Arabidopsis thaliana: one gene and its partner. The protein of the gene in region 1 interacts with the protein of each later gene in a pairwise test. Each region holds a gene or a part of one and is shown on either strand. Other genes may lie near its edges. The genes, in order: ERD15 and PAB8.

Evidence for each region.
Region 2: the proteins of ERD15 (region 1) and PAB8 interact in a two-hybrid assay, tested with the Arabidopsis thaliana proteins (one large-scale study listed by BioGRID).

The regions. Positions count from the first base shown.
Region 1 is NC_003071.7:17,266,655-17,277,081, forward strand, and holds ERD15 (dehydration-induced protein (ERD15)), read left to right. Parts: upstream 1-2,503; 5' UTR 2,504-2,748; exon of another isoform or gene 2,749-3,065; 5' UTR 3,066-3,081; coding exon 3,082-3,421; coding exon of another isoform or gene 3,422-3,444; exon of another isoform or gene 3,445-3,508; coding exon 3,509-3,660; 3' UTR 3,661-3,888; downstream 3,889-10,427. Other genes in the region: WIH2 (proline-rich family protein), read right to left, coding at 140-185, 824-1,028, 1,174-1,219; AT2G41440 (agamous-like MADS-box protein), read left to right, coding at 5,138-5,232, 5,462-5,513, 5,600-5,637, 5,714-5,810, 5,900-5,941, 6,211-6,284, 6,682-6,724, 6,803-6,882 and 2 more; AT2G41445 (agamous-like MADS-box protein), read left to right, coding at 8,916-9,025, 9,367-9,409, 9,487-9,527, 9,625-9,724, 9,848-9,898, 10,024-10,088, 10,188-10,230, 10,319-10,398. UniProt on the Arabidopsis thaliana protein: Central component of stress responses that interacts with poly(A)-binding proteins. Negative regulator of abscisic acid (ABA) responses, including resistance to drought and freezing as well as stomatal closure regulation.
Region 2 is NC_003070.9:18,411,947-18,424,772, forward strand, and holds PAB8 (poly(A) binding protein 8), read left to right. Parts: upstream 1-4,528; 5' UTR 4,529-4,793; coding exon 4,794-5,088; intron 5,089-5,419; coding exon 5,420-5,538; intron 5,539-5,674; coding exon 5,675-6,331; intron 6,332-6,416; coding exon 6,417-6,494; intron 6,495-6,595; coding exon 6,596-6,685; intron 6,686-6,776; coding exon 6,777-6,911; intron 6,912-6,988; coding exon 6,989-7,183; intron 7,184-7,271; coding exon 7,272-7,475; intron 7,476-7,564; coding exon 7,565-7,807; 3' UTR 7,808-8,165; downstream 8,166-12,826. Other genes in the region: AT1G49750 (Leucine-rich repeat (LRR) family protein), read right to left, coding at 1-833; RGE1 (basic helix-loop-helix (bHLH) DNA-binding superfamily protein), read left to right, coding at 12,632-12,826. UniProt on the Arabidopsis thaliana protein: Binds the poly(A) tail of mRNA. Appears to be an important mediator of the multiple roles of the poly(A) tail in mRNA biogenesis, stability and translation.

The DNA of each region.
Region 1 (10,427 bases):
AGAACATTACACATAAAACGAAAGAGAATCATCGAGAGATTCATTTTTAATGCCCCACAAATCAATTAAGGTTTTTGTTTAACCAAAACCCTCTTACAAATAAATCCCGAAGCTTTATGCAGAGAGAGAGAGACTCCAATCAGAAGCAAGCATCCAAGAGACAGCAACAACACAGAGCAGCAAGACTGCAAAAGCAAAAACAGTGTTTACATTTCACAATCAGTATTAAAAACAAATCCAGTTGCTTTAAGACATGCAATGTAGTAAGCAGTAGCTAGATCATGCAAACAATCAAATCCTAAAAGATGCACATTCATCAAAAACAACATCCGATTCACACTGTTAAGTAAAGCCATCAAAGAACAACAATTATCCTGTATTCAGTGAAGGAACAGAGAACACAAAAAGGATCCATCTTGCTAAGCCAATTTACTTATCAAAACTTGTACAAGTATAGTTTCAAGTACTCATAAACAGTTAAACACTACCAAACCAATAACGACAAGAACACAATCACAATTCTAGTTTCTTTAAAGCATGCAATGTTGTAGTAACCAGTAGCTAGATCATGCAAACATGTTAAATCCTAAAAGATGCAAATTCATTAAACACAACAACAATTGTCCTGTGATCAGTGAATGAACAGAGATCACAAAAAGTCAACCTCTACAGAGGAATATTCTAGCTAAAACCACATGACCTTTTGTTCAAAGAATCTCTAGAAGAAATATTTAAAATAAGGAATATAGTCAAATTCAAACTATACACAAAATCTAATTAGTAAAAACAGATTAAATATAATGGAGTGTGTTTATTGACTAACCATCCTTCTAGAAAGCCAGGACTGCTCTGTTGTTGCTGATGCTGCGGTGGTGGAGGATATTGAGGCGCGTACGGTGGAGGATATCCTTGCTGAGGATAACCTTGTTGAGGATATCCCTGAGGTGGATAGCCTTGCTGAGGATATCCCTGAGGAGGATATCCTTGTGGTGGATAAGCATCTTTTGGATATCCCTCCGGTGGATAACCTATTGATACAATTTCAGCACAAACAAAATTCAGATCCGTCGTACAAAAACAATAATCAGTACCAAATTAAGCAGATCTAAGAAAAAATTACAAATCTAAAAACCGAAACTTCTAAAAGTAATCGAAAATAGAAGGAAAGAGGACCTTGAGGAGGAGGAACACCAACGGGAGGTTGATTGTACTGGCTCATTGTTTCCTTTGAAGAAAAAGTGTAAACTTCGTAGAGAAGAAGGAGATCACGAACCTTAGATCGAAAAAGTTTATAGAAGCGATAGAGAAGGACAAGGAAAAGAGGAGAGTGTTTTAAGTATAACGCGTTTTGCAGTTATTTGATTTTTCTTGTTTTTATCCATAACTTTAGGCTAGCGTTCAATACGATGAATTAAAATGAAACTACCAATAAAAAAGGTTAAATTAAAACAAGATTCACGCGGTTTCTGCCTTTTGCAGCGATATTATTTCTGTTTTTTTTTTGTTTAATAGAACTTAATTAATTGGAGAACAAAGATTATTGATTGGTTGTTTATTCTGTTGTTTTTTCTAATGTTCTGTATGAAATCTAGTGATGCTTAATTTCTTTTTGTATCTTACTTCAAATTTCCTTAGAATATAGAAATTCATTTTGTTTTATCGAGTCGATTGACTTAAGACACATTACAACATATGATAAATAGATGTACACAATAGATAAAGTAAAAGTGTCTACATTCTAAACCCCACTTACCTACTTCCAATGTATACTAAAAAAGAGGAGATATTCATGTACATATATACATTTTAAGGTTTCCAATCTCTTGAAAAGGCTTGCTGAATCACATTGTGAAAGTAGCAATGGCCTGGACTTCACTACAACATTTTCCTTCCCGCCAATTACACATCGTTCTCTTTGAGCTACTTCATCTACTAGTTTTGCCACTGCTATTCTAAAACTGACCGTAAGTGGTTGATGCAAAGAAGAAAATATGATCAGTCATTCCGTTTTGCAACATAACAATGAAGCAGAAAATTATGTATGTTCATTTCGATAATCCTAGTTGTTCGACACCTTAATGATCTTGGTGTCCTTGTATAGATTACCTTAGAATTTGGTTCTTCATTGTCATTGGTTAGCTTTTCAAACTTGATGTCCTATAAAAATGCACATCTCAGACATTACGTAAATCCTAGAATCTACTTTTGGTACTTACACGATACAATACCGAAAACGTAAGTACCAAAAGTAGATTCTAGGATTAGGCCCAAAATGATGATGTAAAACAAAATCATGAGTGGGTTAGGCCCATACGGTCATAAATGGGCTTATATTGGATTAGTTTCCTCCTACCTTATCCTCTTTCCGACCAAATTTAAGATATTTTATAGAAAGAATAATAATTTAACTTTTTAGTGTGAGTAGCCAACAGGATTGGAACGAAAAAGAAAGTCAATAAAAGCCAACAGTAACGCGTCTACACGTGGACGGTTGATTACTCAGAACCATGTTAGCTATGGGTCCAGACCTACCCACTTGTGTCTCACCTTTAATCCTGCCTCGACGTTACGAACCCCAGCTTCGTCACCGAACCTTACTTTATATATTAGTCCTTCTTCTTCTCATCTTCTCGCAACGTAGGTTCTGGTGAATGATCCTAATCCGTTTAGCTTTTAAAAAAATAAGAAGACATATTTATCAACTTGATCAACTTGAGCAAGTTGCAGCAGATATTTTCCTCGGCCAAGGTAAAGATCTGATGTTGTCTTCTTCTCTACTCGATCAATTTCTATATTTGAAGTTCGTGGATTTTGAAGGATTTGATTGGTTTCCATGGTATTAGATCTCTGTGATGGTTGTTGATCTATCTTAAAACTTGATTTATCTTCAGTTCTCTCGATTTCAAACTTGTACTTGTCCTACTTCAAGTGATCTAATCGGAAACTTATTGTTGCTATGTTTACTGATCGTACAGATCTATTGATCTAAGGATTAAGCTATGTTGTGATTGAGTTGTTAGATTTGAATTTGAATTTGAACTGAGCTTGTTTGTTTGTGTGTGCAGATCTAGAGTTTTGAGAATGGCGATGGTATCAGGAAGACGATCTACTCTAAACCCCGACGCACCTCTTTTTATTCCGGCAGCTGTACGACAAGTGGAAGATTTCTCACCGGAGTGGTGGCAATTGGTGACAACTTCGACTTGGTACCCTGATTACTGGATCAGTCAGCAGCAGCAAGGCGCGGATGGTTTCTATGACAACGGAGAGAATGAGAATGGTGGAGGTCATATCGATGTAGCTGATCTTCTTCCAGAATCATTTGATTTTGATGATATGGAAGATTTCTTTGACACTGATGCTGCTGAGTTTGATCAAGGATTCGATGGAAGAATGTATTACCAAGCACCTTCCGAATTTGGTAAGTCGGTTTCATTCCCCTGATACATAGAACCATCCAAGATCAGTAGATTTGTGGAGGCTAATTGTTGTTTATATATATCATCAGGCTTTGGAAAGAATGGTGAGATGGTTAAGAAATCAAGTGGAAACAGGAGCCCGAGATCGATTGTGGAACCAGCTAAGTATGCGGAAAAGCCAGCGAAATGGGGAAACCAGAGGGTTGCTGCTGCTCCGAGAAACATCCACCAGCCTCGCTGAAGAGATATGTTGTTAACTAGTCAGAGAAGTCAGAGCAGTTCGGTCTGTGTATCTTTAGCCACCACTGTACCTTTGTAATTTTTAGTATTTGCTTCCACAACAAAAATCTGTAACTTTGTATCTTTATGATGTTCATTCTCAAACTTGCTATCACAAAAATGTAAAAACATAAAAAAAAAAAAATGTAAACTTTGAAGAGAAATGAGAACTAGAGTTTATTTCCTACCTTTGTCTGAGCAATTCTATTCAATTACCAAAAGTCTTATCCTGCATCGGTGATGGCTACCGGAAGCAGTTGCATCAATGTTGCTTTGGCTTTACGACCAAAAGAAAGCCATCGCAGAGCTCAAATATAGAAGGTTTTCACGTCTCAGCTACTGAAAATGATCAGTTCTCTAAAGACTAGAACTCTACAAGGTTGGTGGCTAAGAAAAGGATGTCGATTACATCATAATGCTAATACACGCAAAAGGTCAGGAGTGTCGAACATGTTTTAACTTGCAAACATTGCCGACGACACCAAGTTCATTTCGAGCTCGGAATTGAGATACCGAAGACATGTCCAAATTTAAACCGGACTTAGTAAATTCCCCATCAAAAATGGGGAAAATGAGACTTTTCTTTCGTTTGATGCGAAAACTCTCGTCTTGACTCTTGAAGCTTTGTTTTTTTGACTCCACAAGTCGTCGATTTGACATTCGAACAAATGATTAGTCAGACGATCAGAAACGCTCCAAAACGCAGCGCTTTGGCTAGAACAGAGCTTTAAGACACCTATGTTAATACGAAAATACCCTCTGATAAACTTATTTATACACTCGACGTTTCGTTTTTTTTTCCAGTTTTCTGAAAAGTAAATTATTTGAAATCCCGCTCTGAATTATTACAATGGCGCCAAAGAGAGCATCGCCGATGCAGTCTTCTCTGTACTCTATCGGTAAGAACTCGGAAAGCCCTTGATTTTATTCAGAAAACTCCGATCAATCAAATGAATCTTCGTGTGTTTTGATTCGATTTCTCCAGGTGATTACGAGGTTGCAGTGGATGGTAAGAATTTCACCTGTGAATCCGGACCCAAAAGCATTCAAATCAAATTTCCCAGAAACTACACAGTCAAAATCTCAGGTTCGTCTAGAATTTGGGTTCTTGCGGTTCTGTTTTTTTTCCACTCTAATTTGGTTGTTAGTCATTTTGGGCTCTATGATTTGATTATCTAATTCAATTTCATCTATTGATGTTATGCGGCTACTAGCAAAATGTGTAACAAACTCAATGTCCATAATTTTTCTTTTTGTGGTCAAACAACTCAATTTCCCTAAATTACTTTAGGAAATTTTCCATAATATTGGACCAAAAAAACTCCGTCTGTACTTTTTTTTTTTTTTTGGCAAAAAACTCCGTCTATACATGTAACAACAATCCTCGCAATTTCCAAAGTGGAAAAAAAGAAAAATTGGGTTTCGGTCGATCCGATTCGATGGGGAGAGAGGGCGATCAGATGAAGAGGAAGCGAAGAGATCTAACGAACAAGACGAGAGGGCCCTGCAATTTCTGCGAATTCTCCAGCAGCAGGTACTTGGCTCACAGATGGCAAACAAGGGTTCGATTTTCTAGGGTTTTCATTGTTGATTTAGGTCTTTGAAGTAATTTAGGATATGGGAACCATCACAAAATCTGCTTATTAGGTTTATTGATTAGCTATTTACTCGGCTTAGTTGGATCTCGGAATCTGAATCTGAATCTGAGGATATGATTGAATCAGACAATAAACTTAAACCTAAACCCCTTGGCCTTTTTCCAGATATGGATGCAGCTCTGAAGATAAGCTGCAGGAGCAAGACAATGAAGCAGTGGTATGTAATTACTTATGTACTCATATATCTATCTCTTTGTATGTTATACCTGTGTTTTTGCTTACATTCAACTTCTCTCCTTGCAGCTGCGGAAAGAAGTCGAGAGATTACGGCTTTTGATCAAGTATGCCTGCGTGCGTTTCCCACTTTCTTGTTCTGCATATTCATTTTGGTTGATGAGTTTTCTTTCATGATTCCAGGAGAATGACTGGGAAGGAAGATATTGTCAGCTTCACCGAGCTGCTAGCTCTTCAAAGTCACCTTATGGATGTCCGATCCATTGTGCTGGAGCAAAAGGTGAAATAGGGGGAAATATTACTTGACTTTTTTTTTTTGTTTCCGTGTCGTTATTATCAAGAATTTTCTTTAACTATTGGCTATTGCAGAAGGAGGTAGAGCTGGAAGAAGCTGAAAGGCCGCACAAACAGGTAAAGTATTCTAATTCTTAATTTAGCTGTCTTCTTTTTTTTTGCCCTGTATCCAAATTTTTTTTGTTGAGGAAAGTCAGTTTTACCCTTTCCAGTCTAAAATCTCTCACAAGGCCATTGCTTTTGCCTCTCCTTTTTTTCTTCTTAAAGTTCCTTGTTGACCTTGCAAGTTCTTAAGCTTTCTCACCTTTTACTTCTTTCTTTCTTTTTTCTGTCTTCTCGGGTAATTACGTATCTGACATATATCACAATCCCCTTCGATTTTGCAGAAGAAGGAAGCAGAGCATGATGCTGACGGTATGAGGAGAGGGGTTTTGGTTCCTTGCAAATTCTCTGCCAGCAGGTAATCTCTCTGCTAAAGAATTGAGTTATTTTTTGTTGGGTTTGGTCACAACAATTTGTGTGTCTGTGCAAATGGGAACCATTTTTTTTCTAGGGTTTCTTTCTGTCGAAGTGAGTGTATATGAAACCTGCCCTTTTTTTTTTTTTTTATGAGCTATATAAACCAAAATCAGTTGTAGTTTCGTCCTTATTAGCTACTATTGGACTCAACAGTGGGAGTTGAATCCTTCATCTCTCAGAATCTGAGGGAGATCACTTGTTTTTTTTTGTTCTTCTTTTCAAAGTTGTAGCTGTCTTGGTGCAGCATATCACGTTATGATGTCTTGCTTTTTGATCATCGAAACCAATTGTGTAAAAGGAAAGGCTGACTTGACTTGTTCTGCATATATATAATACAGCTTGGGAGAAAGACAGGAAGATCCAAATGGTGAAGCACCACTGGTGCGCGTATATTCTCTTCTCTTCCTTATCTCTTTTCTTTCCTCAGACTGTGTCTTTAAAATCCTCATTTTCTTGCAGCTGCAAATGCAGAGGGAATTCGAGCAACGCAGCTCTGAATCCTTGCAGAGCGAGTTCGACAAATTATGGCTTTTTAACGAGTAATAACTCAATACCATTTCCCACTTCTTGCTCTGCAGAAGTCTCTGTTTCTTTTTTTCTTTTCTTTCATTTTGGGTTTTCTTTCATCTCACAGGAGAATGAATGGTAGAGAGCTCGAGGGTATGACTTCCTTCGACCTGTCCATACTTCACATTCAGATATTACGAGCTCTACGGGCTTTGATTGACCAAAAGTTGGGACCAAGACAAGAACATAGGGCATGGCAGCGCGGAGAGGTAAAAATTTATCTATCAGTGTATATTATATGTTTTTAGTAACTAGTGTATCTGAATCGTTTCTTCTATTCACACATTTTCTTAGCTTGTTTGCCACACCGACAAGGAATCAGTCTCTGGGTTAGCTGAGCCCGGGAGATGTTCGTCGGATAATGACAAGGATGCTGACTCTTCCTTGCAATGTAGACTTCTTCTCGTTTCAAGAAAGCTCAGAAGATTCCATAATTCTTATCAGCGGAAGAGCATGCCGGAGACCAGGTCGGTCTGCCAGAGTCGAGTGACTTCCGATTGACCTTATCTGCCCTGGTTGCTGCTTTCTCTGTTTCTATGTTGACATATCAACTTGCCACTTTATTTGTCTTAGTCTTGAAGTCTACGCATCTTGGATTGTAAACTTAGAAATACCAATTAGAGTTTAATTTATTACCAAGGTAAGATGTTGTTTTAAGACTCGAGGGGTTTCATATCTCACCATGTTAGGACTTGTGGGTTTCATAGAGCATCAATGAGCTTCTTTTATTTGTAAGAGATTCTCTAACACATGACGATCGATTACTCTATAAACTAGATAAATTAATCCGTATGTTATTCTAGTTAATAAGGGATTACGTTTCTTTTTACCGCATTTCTGATTAATAAAAACCATTGTTTTCAAGCTTGACCCAGATCATTCGATCCGACCAGTTAACCTACGACCCAAACATTTTTCCGATTTAGTTTTAGTGCTAATATCCGACAAATTCAAAAAAAAAAAAAAAATCATAAAAATTCACCATTGATCCGCAACCCCAATGAACCGGTTGAACCATCTAAACTTATTCAGTTATCTTTAGAAAAAATTTCAGTTTTTAAACTCATTTGATGTTTTTTTTTTTGGTGAAGACTTCACAATATCACCTTAAGAGAATGAATGGAATTATGAGAGAGACAACCAAAATTATTTGTTTGGATTCGCGATGTTTTCTTAGTTTATTTTTGTCATTGGTGATTTTTTACTATATTTGTTATGGTTTTAAACTTATAGTTAGAATTAAAAAATTTAATCACTTTATTATTATTGTTTGATTTCATGTTTTTGTTAAACATTATATGATTATTTGTTGTTTTTCTATTTATAGAAGCTATATAATCTTTATAAATATTAAGTATATTAAATAAATTATAATCAATTGATATGTGGTCCAGCAAGGTTGATTATGTGAATCAGAAAATAATCTGGTTTACCGTCACGCTCGGATTTAAAAACATTGATAAAAATACATTATATATATATATATCTTATTATATAATGTACGGTTTTAAAAGTTACTAACTCACCAAATTATGACACGTGACAGTTTTATCAATTTAAGATTTTGACATGTGTTAGAGTTTTTTTTTTTACTTTTTTCCTTAAATAAAATAAAGGAAACTAAAAAAAAAACATATTTACAATTATTAATTTATATAGTTAATTTTTAATTTTCTTAACTAAAATAGAAAACTAACAATAAGATATAAATTTTAAGATATAAATTTATTTAAATATTTATTGATAATATTTAAAATAATATGGAAAACTAACAATAAGATGGAAAACATATATATATATATATATATATTTCGAAACAAATGTAAAAAACAGAAAAAGGAAGTAAGTGTAATGTAACTTTTTCCGTTTTCCATTACAATTTGGGGAATTTTTTTATTTTTTTTTGGGTTAAAAATAAGGTTTGCCTTGGATAACAAGAAATTGCTTTTGCTTTCTATCAGATATTAACTTTGGGTTTCCTTCGATCCGATTAGAAATCTCGAGAATGGGGAGAGGAAGGATTAAGATGAAGTTGAAAGGGAGGCGAAGAGATTTGACGAAGAAGAAGGTGAGAGAGCTCTGCGATTATTGCGGATTCTCTAGCGGCATCATTAGGTAAACTCGCTGAATCAATTATTATTATTAGCTTCGCTTCTTGCGGAAAGGGTTCTATTTTATAGGGTTTTGTTGTTGAAATAGTTCTTAATTAGGTTATTGAGATGTAGAACACGTTGGTTATGAGTTACATACCCTAGCCATCGCAAGATCTGGTTCTGCAATTTTTGATTCATCGTTTCGTTTTTCTGGGCTAGAGCTATTACTGTTGGGTTTGGTAGAATTATTTGGATCTCATATTAATATCTCTTTTTTCTGCAACATAACTATGCTTGTAATCACCTAAACAACAGTTTAAACCAAAGCCCTGACTTTCTTCTGTGTTTGCAAACTCTTTCTAGGTATGATGAACAAAGGCCACACGAACGAGATCACGAAGCAGTGGTATGTATCTTGTATGGACTTTGATCTCTCTGTATATCTTATTTTTGCTCACAAATTGTTTTTCACACTTCTTCTAGTCTATGGAGAATGAACTCAAGAGATTACGGCTTTTAACCAGGTCTAACTCATTAACATTTCCCATTTCTTGTTCTGAAAAGTTATCCCTCTCCTCTCTTTGCTTTGTGATTCTTATGATGTATATCCTTTATTCCCAGGAGAATGACTTGTAAGGATCTCGATGGTCTGACTTTCCCCGAGCTGCTATCACTTAAAAGCCATCTACAGACTGCCTTGCTCATTGTGAAGGACCAAACGGTGAGTAACCAAAATTTAAAATCGGGGAAAAAATAAGAAATAATGCATCTTACTTCTTTCTTCTATCATTCAAAGCGTTAAACAAACCACCTTTTTTTTTATTTATTTTTTAAACTGTTACAGAAGAAGATAGAGCAGCTGCTTAAAGAAGATGATGGGTGGATGCTTATACGGGTAAACATTTCCTAGGCACTTCATCTGCCCTATGAAATTATTGTTTGTGAATCTGCTAGGAGCTGCTGTTCATGTTGATTCTTGTAATATCTTCCATGTTTGAAGCTTTCTTACATTTTTTGTAGAGGAAGGACGCAGAGGATGGTATGGGGAGAGAGGTTTCTGTTCCCTGCAAATTCTCTACCAGCAGGTTGTCTCCTCCTTCCTAGCTTAAGTAGGAATTTTTGGTTCTAAGTTGTAGTTGTCTGGTGCCCCATTAAAGCCTGATTTGGTCTTGGTATATCTACAGCACGGGTGAGAGACAAGGTGATGAAGCACCAGCACCACCGCTGGTATGTATATTAATATTCTTTCACAGTCCTGCATGCCTCTCTCTTTACCCCACATTGTCTTGTTATACTTGTGCATCTTTTATTGCAGTCGCAACTGCAGCTACAATTCGAGAGACGAAATGCTGAACCCATGATGATCGAATACGGGAGATTATGGCTGTTGAAGGAGTAAATGCGTCGCCATCCCACTTGTTGCT
Region 2 (12,826 bases), on another chromosome or scaffold:
TTGTTGATGAACAAGACGTCGAGGTCGAGATTAAAGACCTGAGGAGGAACAGAGCCTGAGAAAGAATTGAACCTGAGATCAAGAAACGTGAGATTGTTTCCTTTCAAGACACTAGTTGGGAAATCTCCTGTGAGTTTGTTGTTGCTTAGATCGAGCTCGTATAAGAATTTCAAATTGCTGAAATCAGGCACAGAGCCTGTGAAACCGTTGGAGTTTGCGTGGAAGATGGTGACTTCTTCTAACTTGTCGAGGAAGTTATCTAACTTGAGGATCTTGCCTATCTTGCCTCTCAAGTTTAACCCATTAAACTGGACGCTCGCGAGTGCGAGATGCTTTGTTTTCGGGAAAATGGCGCATTTGAGTCCGAGGTATTTGTTGCAAATGTCGGGGCCTTCCCAAGACTTAAGTTTATCATCTGCGACTAGATCCTTAAATCTTTGGAGAACTGGATAGACTTTCTTTAATAATGAGCTCGCAAACGGTAGATCAGGTGTTGGCGGCGATGGCTGGGGTTTAGGCGGTGCAGGCGGCGGAAGCTGTGGAGGAGGTGGAAGCTGTGGAGGAGGAGGGCTTGGAGGAGGAGAGGGTGGAGGAGGGCATGGAGGGGGAGAAGGTGGAGGAGGGCATGGAGGAGGAGGAGGGGGAGGAGGGCAATCTGCAGGTTCTGGTTCTGGTTCCGGTGAAGGTGACGGTGGAGGATTGTTGTCGTTACCACCACCGATAATGATTTCTAAGGATTTTCTGTCGTTAATGTGGTTGTTTCCGGTGGTTGAAGTGAAGTGGAGATTTGAAAGTGAAAGAATGAGAAGAAGAATTGAGAGAATTGAAGCCATTGAGTTGATGAGATTTTGTGGTGAGTTTTGAGGATAAGTATGGGGACTATGTATATAAGGAGATTTTAGAGCATAGAAATAGAGAAGACTAAGAAGCTTGTGAAGTCAATGGACATTGTCTTTTGGGTAGTGGGAGCTACAATAATTATTGATATTTTGGGTAGTAGACTATGTAAGTTTTTACATAGGTATGTTTAGTTATTGATATCAAACTGAGATGTAATTTTTTTTTTGCTATATAAAAATTTCATAGTATGAGTATCTAAATTTATGAGTAGTATAACTTTGAACTAGGGAATCATATGAAAGCTAGATAGTTGAAAGTTAAACTAGTCATAAACTTATAGTCATACTATGAACTTTTATGAGTAGTATGAATTTTAAAAATGAAATGGAGAAAGGAATAATGAAATGTAGCATTTTGAGCTGTTTTTTATAGTAAAACATATTTCATAGTAAAATATATGAATTTAATCATCTTTGAGTTGTTTATTGAGTCCAATAAGTACATTTACCTGGCCCAACCTTTACTTTTTATAGAGAAATACTTTAAAATAACATGAAAAAATTTATTATGGACAATTATAACACAAACTTCACAAATTTCCAAAATTAGCATTAGTAATTTTACATAATAACTAATTTATTTTTATCTAAATATATAAAATTAATTATGATTTTAAATCACAAATCGTGTGAATTATCAATCAAATGCTTATATTAGTCTTTTTAATATTAATTTCATGTTATTTTTGGAAGTTTGAAGATTGTGTGCTAAATTTGATAAGAAAACTTATTTTTGTTATTTACGAGAGTTGTCTATTTTTTTGTTGCCGACAAAACCTCCTAATAAATAAATACTAATATATAATATAACATATTTAGAAAAGAGAATTGAACGGAGCAAAAGTTTATCAATAATGATTATCAGTGTGGAGTTTTTGGCCATTTACGGATGATTTACCTTTTTGTGAGAACGTTCATTAGAGAACATCAGTGATTTTTCAAGGATAGTTGGGGATGGGTGTATTATTTTGTAACAACAAACAAGAAAGAGCATCTCTAATGGTGAAATATTCACCAAGTGTCTCTTATCAATATTATAATATTATTTAAATATAATTTTGTTATTTAACTAAATTTTAAGTGATAAATAAAAATGAACAAATCATATTAAGACATTATACTAAGATATGTGGTATTTGGGATTTTAAATAAGATTTTATATACTTTAAAATAAGAACCATTCTTATTCTCTTGCCTTTTCTATTATTATTTTTGATTAATTAATATTAAAAACTCACCATTGAAGATGCTCTAAAACATAGTCAACTTGGTTTTAAAAAAAGAAACTAAAAAAAAAGATAAATGTTTATCTGTTGTTGCTTGTTGTTTGATACAACATGTCTCCTCTGATATGAGTTACTTTTAATATGCAGGAACAAGAGGATTGGTAGAACGTTATATGAAACAAGAGGTATGAATATTATATTTTCACTTTTCTCACTCACTACTTTTCTCGTATTTCATTTATTGTTTTTTTTGTATGACTAGAAAGTCGGAATTCCAAATTAATAACATGGTTTTTTCAAATGATTTGACTATACCGTAAAGCAACTCAAGTTTCAACCATTTGTTCGAACTTGTTCTCAAAACTAGTTTCACCCCGAAAAATAATGGTTTGTAAAGATATGGGCAGAGAAAGAAAATTGAACTTGGAAAGAAATTGGATTAGACATCACTTAAAAATAGTAAATTTGTGCTAAAAGAAATTTACTGAAAACATTGCTTAACTTTCTTATTTACATAACATCCTAGCATTCTTCAACTAATGATAACTATCACTTTATAGAGAAAGAAAATAGACAACATTATCACAACATTGACATAACCTCATAGGGTCACGGCTTCACTGCTTTCACGGCTTCAAATGGATTTTAAAGCCTTTGTAGTATTTTTTTTGCCAATCAGACTTTTTTCACTTTATTTTTTTTGGAAGTTTTTAAAGCTTTTTTTTTTCTTTTTCCTTTATTTTTCTTTTTGAAAGTCACGTAAATGAGGCTTTTAAAACAAATTAAAAGCTTTTCGTTTTCTTCTCTAAACATAATTAAAAGTTCTCTACAAATTACATATTTCTTTTTTCAAAACGTTTTTGATTAATAATTATTATCAAGTTACTAATTTTTTTTTAAGATCCATTTCACTAATAATAATTTTATTTTTTATCATCAACACTAATAAAGTTAGATGTCATTTCATTATCATTAATAAATTTGTTGATTTTATGATAAGTCAAAAAAATCATTCAAAACAGTTTTGAGAAAAAAATTTAGCCATAAGAATCATTCAAGATGAGTATTTTAATTATTAATGTGTTTGGATATTAAGTGTTTGGATATTAAGTGCATGAAACAATAAATATAAATAATGCAATGTTTGGTCTTTTAAAAATGAATGAATAATATATATTTTTAAAAATCAGTAATAAAGTTTTATTGTTACTAATAAAAAATAACAGTCACAGCTTCTACAACTTTGTTTTACCAATCTGATTTTAACAGCCAAAGTCTTTACAGCTAAATTCTTTGTACCTCAAATTTTTAAAGTCAAACCTTCTAAAGCCAAAAATAACGGTCGTTACCAATCTGTTAAAAAAATTTACCTTCTGAATTAGCATAAACTGATTTCGGTATACCATGTTTCAATTTCTTCTGACTGAAAATAGAAGAGATGATATTGTTATTACACATTTCACGCTGAAGAGATACTAAAAACAGTTAGAAAGGCAAAAAGAGTTATGTTCGATCGACTAATTTTAAATTATGCAAGATTGGGCCCAATACAGGCTAGAATTTCGGTCCATAATTTTCCAAGACATCAAGAAACTGGTTCACAAGATTTGTTGGCCCATTTTTAATTATCTACTATCTTTAGCCTCTATTATCCTTGACTGAGGTATGAAGTTGCAACATAACGATTTCGAAACTTCTTAAAACTTTTCTCATAACGCAAGCTAGAAAAGGTTTTTTAAAAAGTCCCCCATGTTTTTAGTTTCATGCATTACATCACATATTCACATGTATGTGGAGAGATAGATAACCAAATTGTTAGATAACTGCATGTTATTTAAAATTTTATGTGTTCTTTTAGAAAAAGAGCACCATTTTATATTTTTTGCAAATTAATCAAAAACTTTACAACTTCTTAGCTATTTTCATAAATTTGCATGGTCATTCAATGGTATTTACTAATAATAATTAAATATGTCTGAACGAACATATTTTTTTTTGACAGTTACTACAGCTATTTCATATTTTATCCTTTTTATACAAAAATCACTTCACTTTCTAATTTACCTTGCAGAAAATTTACTACAGTACATACTAATAATTTTAACAAATTTTCTTAAATAAAACATCACTACACTTACACTGATTCTTGTTTTTCTAATCTCATTAGTAATTACTCCTCATTAGTCTGAATACGGTTATATATTTTTGAGCACAAATACTTTTGCCCAATAAAATAAAATAAAATGGTAAGATATTTCCCAACGCATATTTTATACAAGTGTGTGACCCACAACAAGACACACTACAGTGTAAATCCAACGGCTGAGATTTCTCAAATTACCATCAAAGCTTTTAGGGTTTGGTGAAACCTTCCATATATAAACACTGAAACCTCCAAGTTGTCTTTCCTCTTTGCAGTTTTTTTTCATTTGAGCTTCTCTCTGATAAGGTCACTTCCTCTGACCCTTTTATCTAAGCTCAACGCTGCAACTCTCGCCGTCGGTTACTTCCCCATTTTCCTTCCTTCTTCCGATTCAAAGACTCAATTTTTATTCTCCGGCGTTGAGGATTCATCTCCTAAAAATCTCTGCTTTATCTTTTGATTTGAGCTGATTTGGAGAGGAGAAGAAGATAGATAGATAGGTAATTCGGATTGATATCTCGAAAAATGGCTCAGATTCAGCATCAGGGTCAAAATGCCAATGGTGGTGTAGCTGTTCCCGGTGCTGCTGCGGCTGAAGCTGCGGCGGCTGCGGCTGGAGCTGCGGCGGCGGCTGCCGGAGCTGCGCAGCAAGGGACGACGTCTTTATATGTCGGTGATCTGGATGCGACCGTGACGGATTCACAGCTGTTTGAGGCGTTTACCCAAGCGGGTCAGGTGGTTTCTGTCCGTGTCTGCAGAGACATGACGACTCGGAGATCTCTAGGCTATGGCTACGTTAACTATGCAACTCCTCAAGATGGTAACTTTCTTAAGGCTTATCTGATTTGGTAACTTAGTCGTTGTAGCTCATCTGAATTTGGGGTATGGACTGATGTGTTATATCAAATGCTAATCTAAATTTGGGAGCTTTCTATAAAAAAGGTGAAAGCTTTCAGGTTAATTTGGAAAGTGGTTACATTTGGTAACATTGTGGGCTTTCAGGGTATTTGGCTGTTAGGGAGGATAGTTTTCTTTTGAGGTCATAGAGTTAGAGTTATGACCTCAATGTTATGAGTAGACTCAATGTTATTCTTCTTACAGAAATGAATGATTTGAGTTATGTTGATGTTAATATTTCTGATTGGTGACAGCTTCCAGGGCACTGAATGAGCTGAATTTCATGGCTCTTAATGGAAGGGCTATAAGAGTTATGTATTCTGTTCGTGATCCAAGTCTCCGTAAGAGCGGAGTTGGTAATATATTTATTAAGGTACATATATTAAATCTCTTTTTCCTATTGTCCAAGTTTGAACTTCTATGCAGAGATGGAAAGAAACCTTGGCTTGTTTAATATCCTATCTCAAAGTTTGTTTGTTTATTGACATGGTTTATTATCTGTGTCTCAGAATCTTGACAAATCAATTGATCACAAAGCACTTCACGAGACATTTTCAGCCTTTGGTCCCATTCTATCTTGCAAAGTGGCCGTTGATCCCTCTGGTCAGTCGAAAGGCTATGGGTTTGTGCAGTACGACACTGATGAAGCAGCTCAGGGAGCCATTGATAAACTGAATGGAATGCTTCTTAACGATAAGCAAGTTTATGTTGGACCCTTTGTTCACAAGCTGCAGAGAGATCCTTCGGGTGAGAAAGTTAAGTTCACTAATGTTTATGTCAAAAATCTCTCCGAGTCCTTGAGTGATGAAGAGCTTAACAAAGTTTTTGGAGAGTTCGGAGTGACTACTAGTTGTGTTATCATGAGAGATGGTGAAGGAAAGTCTAAAGGCTTTGGATTTGTCAATTTTGAGAATTCTGATGATGCAGCCAGAGCTGTTGACGCTCTAAATGGAAAGACCTTTGACGACAAGGAGTGGTTTGTTGGGAAGGCCCAAAAGAAGTCCGAGAGGGAAACTGAACTCAAACAAAAGTTTGAGCAAAGTTTGAAGGAGGCTGCAGACAAGTCTCAGGGGTCGAACTTATATGTTAAGAACTTGGATGAGAGCGTCACAGATGATAAGCTCAGAGAACATTTTGCTCCCTTTGGAACTATTACATCATGCAAGGTCCGTGACTGATACAATAAAAAGCGCTGCTTGTTACTATCTTCAGCAGATTTGCATTAAAATGTATTACATTTGAACGTGACAGGTGATGCGTGACCCCAGTGGAGTGAGTAGAGGATCTGGATTTGTCGCATTTTCAACTCCTGAGGAAGCAACTAGAGCTGTAAGTGACTAGAATATAAAGAAGACATGTCAAATTTTGGTGATCTCCTATTCTCTGGAAGGATCTTGATGCTTAACACTGTCTTCTTTTCAATGTTTCAGATTACAGAGATGAATGGAAAAATGATCGTTACCAAACCTCTATATGTTGCTCTTGCGCAGCGGAAAGAAGACCGCAAAGCTAGGTTACAGGTCTGGTTAATTTACCCATGTTGTTATCCTTGAAAAGGATTATCCTAATCCCATGCTTATCGTGCTTAATTTGACCTCTCTGGCATTTTAGGCTCAATTTTCACAGATGAGGCCGGTCAATATGCCACCTGCGGTTGGTCCTAGGATGCAAATGTATCCACCAGGTGGTCCACCAATGGGTCAGCAACTCTTCTATGGTCAAGGGCCTCCTGCTATGATTCCTCAGGTAAAGCTCAAAGCTTTAAGCATAAAACATTTGAGACCAATCTTTATAACTTTCTTCTCCAACTGGGTATCGAACAGCCTGGATTCGGATATCAACAACAGCTTGTACCGGGTATGAGACCTGGTGGGTCTCCAATGCCAAACTTCTTCATGCCTATGATGCAACAAGGCCAGCAACAGCAACAGCAGCAACAGCAGCAGCAGCGACCTGGTGGTGGTAGAAGAGGAGCTCTTCCACAACCACAACAACCTTCTCCTATGATGCAGCAGCAGGTTAAGTTTTGCTTTAGGCCCAAGACTTTCTCCACATGTTTAAAATCGATAGCATGCTTACATTTTGCATCAATCTGTTTCTCTACAGATGCATCCAAGAGGTCGAATGTATCGGTATCCTCAGCGAGATGTAAACACAATGCCTGGTCCTACTCAAAACATGCTTTCTGTTCCATATGACGTCTCAAGTGGTGGTGGTGTGCATCATCGTGACTCGCCTACTTCTCAACCTGTTCCTATTGTAGCTTTGGCTACACGGCTTGCGAATGCAGCTCCAGAGCAACAGAGAACGGTAAAGTCAAATGATTTGTTTCTAACAGCTCGGAAACAACTAAGAAAAATGTGTCTTTCTTAAACCTGTTATGTTTCTTCGTTATACAGATGCTTGGTGAGAATCTATACCCGCTTGTGGAGCAGCTGGAGCCAGAATCCGCAGCTAAAGTCACGGGAATGCTTCTTGAAATGGACCAAACCGAAGTACTTCACTTGCTGGAATCACCAGAGGCACTTAAAGCTAAAGTTACAGAAGCAATGGATGTTCTGAGGAGTGTAGCACAGCAGCAAGCGGGTGGTGCAGCTGATCAGTTAGCTTCTCTGTCTCTTGGAGACAACATCGTACCTTGAGAGTTCTAAGTTATATCTGAAAGAGCTCAGTTTATATACACTGTAAAAGTGTTTATTTTGTTCTTTTGGAGAATCAGAAACAGAGTTGTTCTTGAAAGTTTTGGATTTTTGAGTTTTTGTTTTGGGCGAGAGTTTTAACATTTTCCTTCTGTGTTTTTGATTTTCTTAATACTTTGGGAAGTTTTGTATCGTTACTCTCACCTTTTTTTACCTACACTGCTCATTTGATAGGGTATTGTTTGGCTTTTGTCTAGAGTTTCGACTTTTGGGTATAAAATTTGGTTTAAAAGCTTCGAATGATCAATGTAACAATAAGTTTACAGGGCTTTTCTAGGAAATTATTCTTGCTTCCGAAAACAGACTGGGAGAAATCAAACGGGCCTTGGAATAACCTTATCGACTTAGTTACTGAATTGGCCTTGGCCTGACCATAACAACCTATATCTCATCACGAAACTTGGCCTTTGCTTGGTAAAGTTTAAGCTCTTGGTTTTGATGAGATAAGGTCTCTAGCCGAAAGTGTTACATAATTCATAAGACCCATGCATGTAGTAATATTTGCATTCACATACTTGACAATTGACATACTCGAGTTTTGTTCCATATTCTTCATCGTGTTCTTTGATGGCTGTTTCTATGAGAATTTGAGCAGCTCTTCATTGCTCTGTTTATCATCTATAGATGGTTTCCAGTCAAAGTTAACAACAGATAACACGTAGTTAAAACTATCCTAGTTCACATCAAAACCCTCGCTATCTTCAAATTGTTTGTAAAAAAGCTTTCGTTGTCTCCTACATTCAAGAAGACCAAACCTGGTGGCAGAGGATCAATCTCCTTTGCATCTTGGGAATCGTTGGAAACAGCCGTATAGTCGAAACTATTAACATCTCCTTTCCTCTATTGATTTGAATTGAGTTAGAATTGCAATTGTCTAACATACACTAGAAATTCGATAAATTAATAAACTCTTTAAACTAATTAATTTTGCCAGTCCTAAATTGGACCAATATAAAAATTAACTAAAATCATAAAATATATATATATATATATATTTTTAAATCTCTATGTAAAAATATGGTCTCAATAATATCATAAATCTTAAGCATACATTCTAAAATAATCTAATATAAAATAAGTCTAATGTTGTTTGTCTTTTCTAAAAGTTCGAATCTCGTTGAAGTTCATCTCTAATTTTCTTATTACATCAAAAACTCTTGGTGTTGTCTTCTCGATCTACATCCAAAAATTGTGAAAAATTGTAGATGCGATAATTGCTTCCTTACGTGTCACTATTTCCAAAAATTCTACATTATCGTCTTCAACTTCTTTACCAACATTACAAACAAAAGCTATAATTTCTTTTAAACTATAAACTTCTAAACATGCTTTATTTTCACCCGAATAATCGAGTAGGATATTGATATCAATTCTATTTCGATAACCAAAATTGTTAATCATAACTTCAAATTCTTGAATGTGATTCTCAAAATCTAAAGAAAAATAATTTTTTTTTTAACATAATGAAATATGCAAACAACAAAGTATAAAAAAATTGAAGTAAAAAAAAAATTAAGAAATAATATAATATTATATTTTGCGTAAATATTTCTATAAATTAACAGATGAATTATTCCAACGTTATTAATTTATGGAGTTTTTACTGTATATGATATCATCTTATTACTTATACGGGCCTAAATGCTTTTCATGTTATCCATTTTAGCAGAAGAGCAGTTGAAGTCATGTATGGCAAAACAAAACCTTTGTATATATGAACTGATCGTCCCAATTAATATCATTATCATTTTGACATTCTGCTACCAGTATTTAGAAACGAGCAAATTTTTTTTTTCTTTTTTTTTTTCAAAGAAACAAGTAACGTTTAGAACAAAATTTTTTTCCCAAACTAATTATATGATGCATATAGTTTTGTTCAAATATTTTAATGTTTTTGTACTATAGATTTATTTTTGGTAAATGGTAACATCAGTTGATAAATAAAAAGATAAATATTATTACAAGTAAAAAACATTGTCTTCAAAATCTTAGAAGAAAACTGAGCAACAGTGGTTGTACAAATAAAAAAAATCAGCAAAATTGATGATGTTCCTTTTTTTTTCGTTAAGGTGTTATTTATTCTATTTTCTCTTAATATCTTTATACATAATATATGTATTTATAAAATAATATAAATAAATATTGTATCTTTATAAAATACATACATGCATATTTCCTCAACATAAAAAGAACATGGAAGGCTCTAATGGAAAAAAGAAATGGGGAAATTACTTATAATAGCTTTTAATTTTTACAATTTAGCAAAACTTAATCTTCATGGATTTTTTCCCCATTTCCATTGCTAAAATCCAAAATTAGACTCAATTGTGGTGTGTGAATGATTGCCACGTTACCCAACTCTAAAATTCCCAGTTTTGTCTTATGTATGTAATAAAATATTAAAAATCCAGTCTTTCATTAGGTAAGGAATAAGTTCAAAAACTCGTAATTGAATATGAACGGATTCAGACAATTTAATTTAATTTTAAAAGTTTGTTTTTACGAGAAAAAGAAAGAAGAAAGAGACACTTCAAATCTCTGGCGATCAATGATTACATGCACTGAAAACCATAAAGATAACGCTCACTTTTACCACCCTATACTTATTAGACAGTTAAGATAATCACAAGTTAATTAAGGGTCATAATTACAACTTTTGTTCTTTTTAAAATTGGAGTAACAACTTCTCTGATAAAGAACTTATATTGTTCAAACGAGAGATCACATAAAATATTAATTAGTAAAGATACTAAAATTTGTGTTACGTTGTAACGAATTTTAAAATTTGGAATATTCTTTGTTTTTAAATTATTCTTCATTTCAGATACAGAGTTCTTTTTATAAGATACATACATATTTCTTATTATAAGACACATACATATTTTCGAAAAGAAAAAAAAAGACATACAGATTTCATTGAATTTAAATGTTATATACAGATTTCAGTAAAAACCGTTTTTTCCGATGAAAATAAATATTAATAGGGTTAACAAAAAAATTAGTAATATATGCAATATATATTTTTTAAACGTTTTTTTGTAAAGAAACAATTCATATATAAAAGTTGAATAATACAACTGTTATTCTAATTGCCTAAACTGTTCAATATTCTTTTTTGTTTTTTACTGTGTTACATAAATGATTCGAACGTTGAGAACTAAATACGCTAGAGACAAATCAGGGTGTGGTGGCATAATACGAAAATCTTAATCAATTAGGTTCAATTTTGTTTATATGCGTAAGAAGTATTTGTACGTTATTTTTTTTTTTCAAAATAGTTCTCTTGGACGTTAATACACTTAATTTTTGAGAGCTCTCATGAATTTCACAGTTAAGTGTATTATAGAGAGTAACAACGAAATTTTTATAAAAAACAAAAAAAATTGTAGTACACTTTGACAAAGTTGATTAGCTTTCTAAAACAACAAACCTTCCATTACCAAGAGTAGTACTGTTGATAGATCGGTAGTAGACGGAATGGTTTGGTACTACAAATCATATCTTAACAAAAAGTTCAAATTACACTTATTCAACACTCGAATAATTAAATTACAGATATTAATTAGTTTGTTAAGTAAGAATTCTTACATGAATGTATCACTACAAAACTGAATAATATACATAAAAACTAGATTTACTCACGAGTATATCTTTAAACTACATGATTTATAGTTACCCGTTCAACATGATTTTTAACGATGTTCAGATGTAGTATTATCACATTTTAAAAATCCTTTGAGACCTTTATATATATTTTAAGAAAATCATTTTGCATCTTGTAAAATTTGGTGAGAAAAATATGTTTTAATTATGAAAATTAATCATCAATTTTGTTTAAAAAGAGTCATTTTGAAAAATGATATCAGGTCTAAATTTGTTGAATTCACAATGGTCTTAAAATTGAAATAACGAAGAAAAAAATTCATTAAAACATTTACAGGTTATTGGTGGAAATTTCATGATGTTATATGAAAAGATATGAATTCATTTTAATCTAAGGTATAATAAAGAGTTTTGAAATTCACACAATAAATTCTTAAAAATAATATTAAATTTCAAATCTTATTGATTATAAAACTTAGAAACTCACTTTAAATCCATAATTGAATAACACCCTATTAACTACGAATGGAAATATAATAATGCAGAAAGTTTGACAGAAGAAAATAACGAGTTTATCACGTTTTAGAGAATATTAGTACATTCTATAATTATGAAGTAGTACAATTTTATTTTGACTTATTATGGTTATATTTACTATATAGTGAATTACTTACCTACCTATTTTCAATAATATACATTATATAAAGTTGAATTTTCATAGAAAGATAAGATCGCATTAAATTAGAGACTAATTATCTTAATTATTTACCTATTTAAAAGAGATATTTAAATGAAAATAGAGAAAACGCGTATGAATTTACGACCACTCGTTTAATTACTTATCAACAATGAAATTTTGGTCTTATAAACAATTCTTAAATATTATATTTAAGAAGAAAAAAATCCCCTAAGAACTTCATGAAAGAAAGAAAGAAAAGTAACCAAATACCCTTTTTGATTTTGATGTCTTAGTAACGGCCTTGTCTTATGATTGTATTTTGGGGTTTTGCTGTGAGCTTACTTAGCTCTTTATAAATCTCTATCTTCTCCTATTTCTTTTTCACCATCTTTTCTTTCTCTCTCTCTCTCTCTTTATATAAGTCATTCATAAAATCACAATAAACACAACAAAGCAAAAAGGGTAAAATGAGCATTCAATTCAATATGACTAATGCTCAAGAGTTGGGGCAAGAGGGTTTTATGTGGGGCATATCCAATTCTGATGATTCCGGAGGTGGTTGCAAAAGAATCGAGAAAGAACCGCTTCCATCACATCCGTCTCATCCGTCGCCAGAGATCCAGACTACGACGGTTAAAAAGGGAAAAAAGAGAACGAAAAGAAATGATAAAAACCATGAA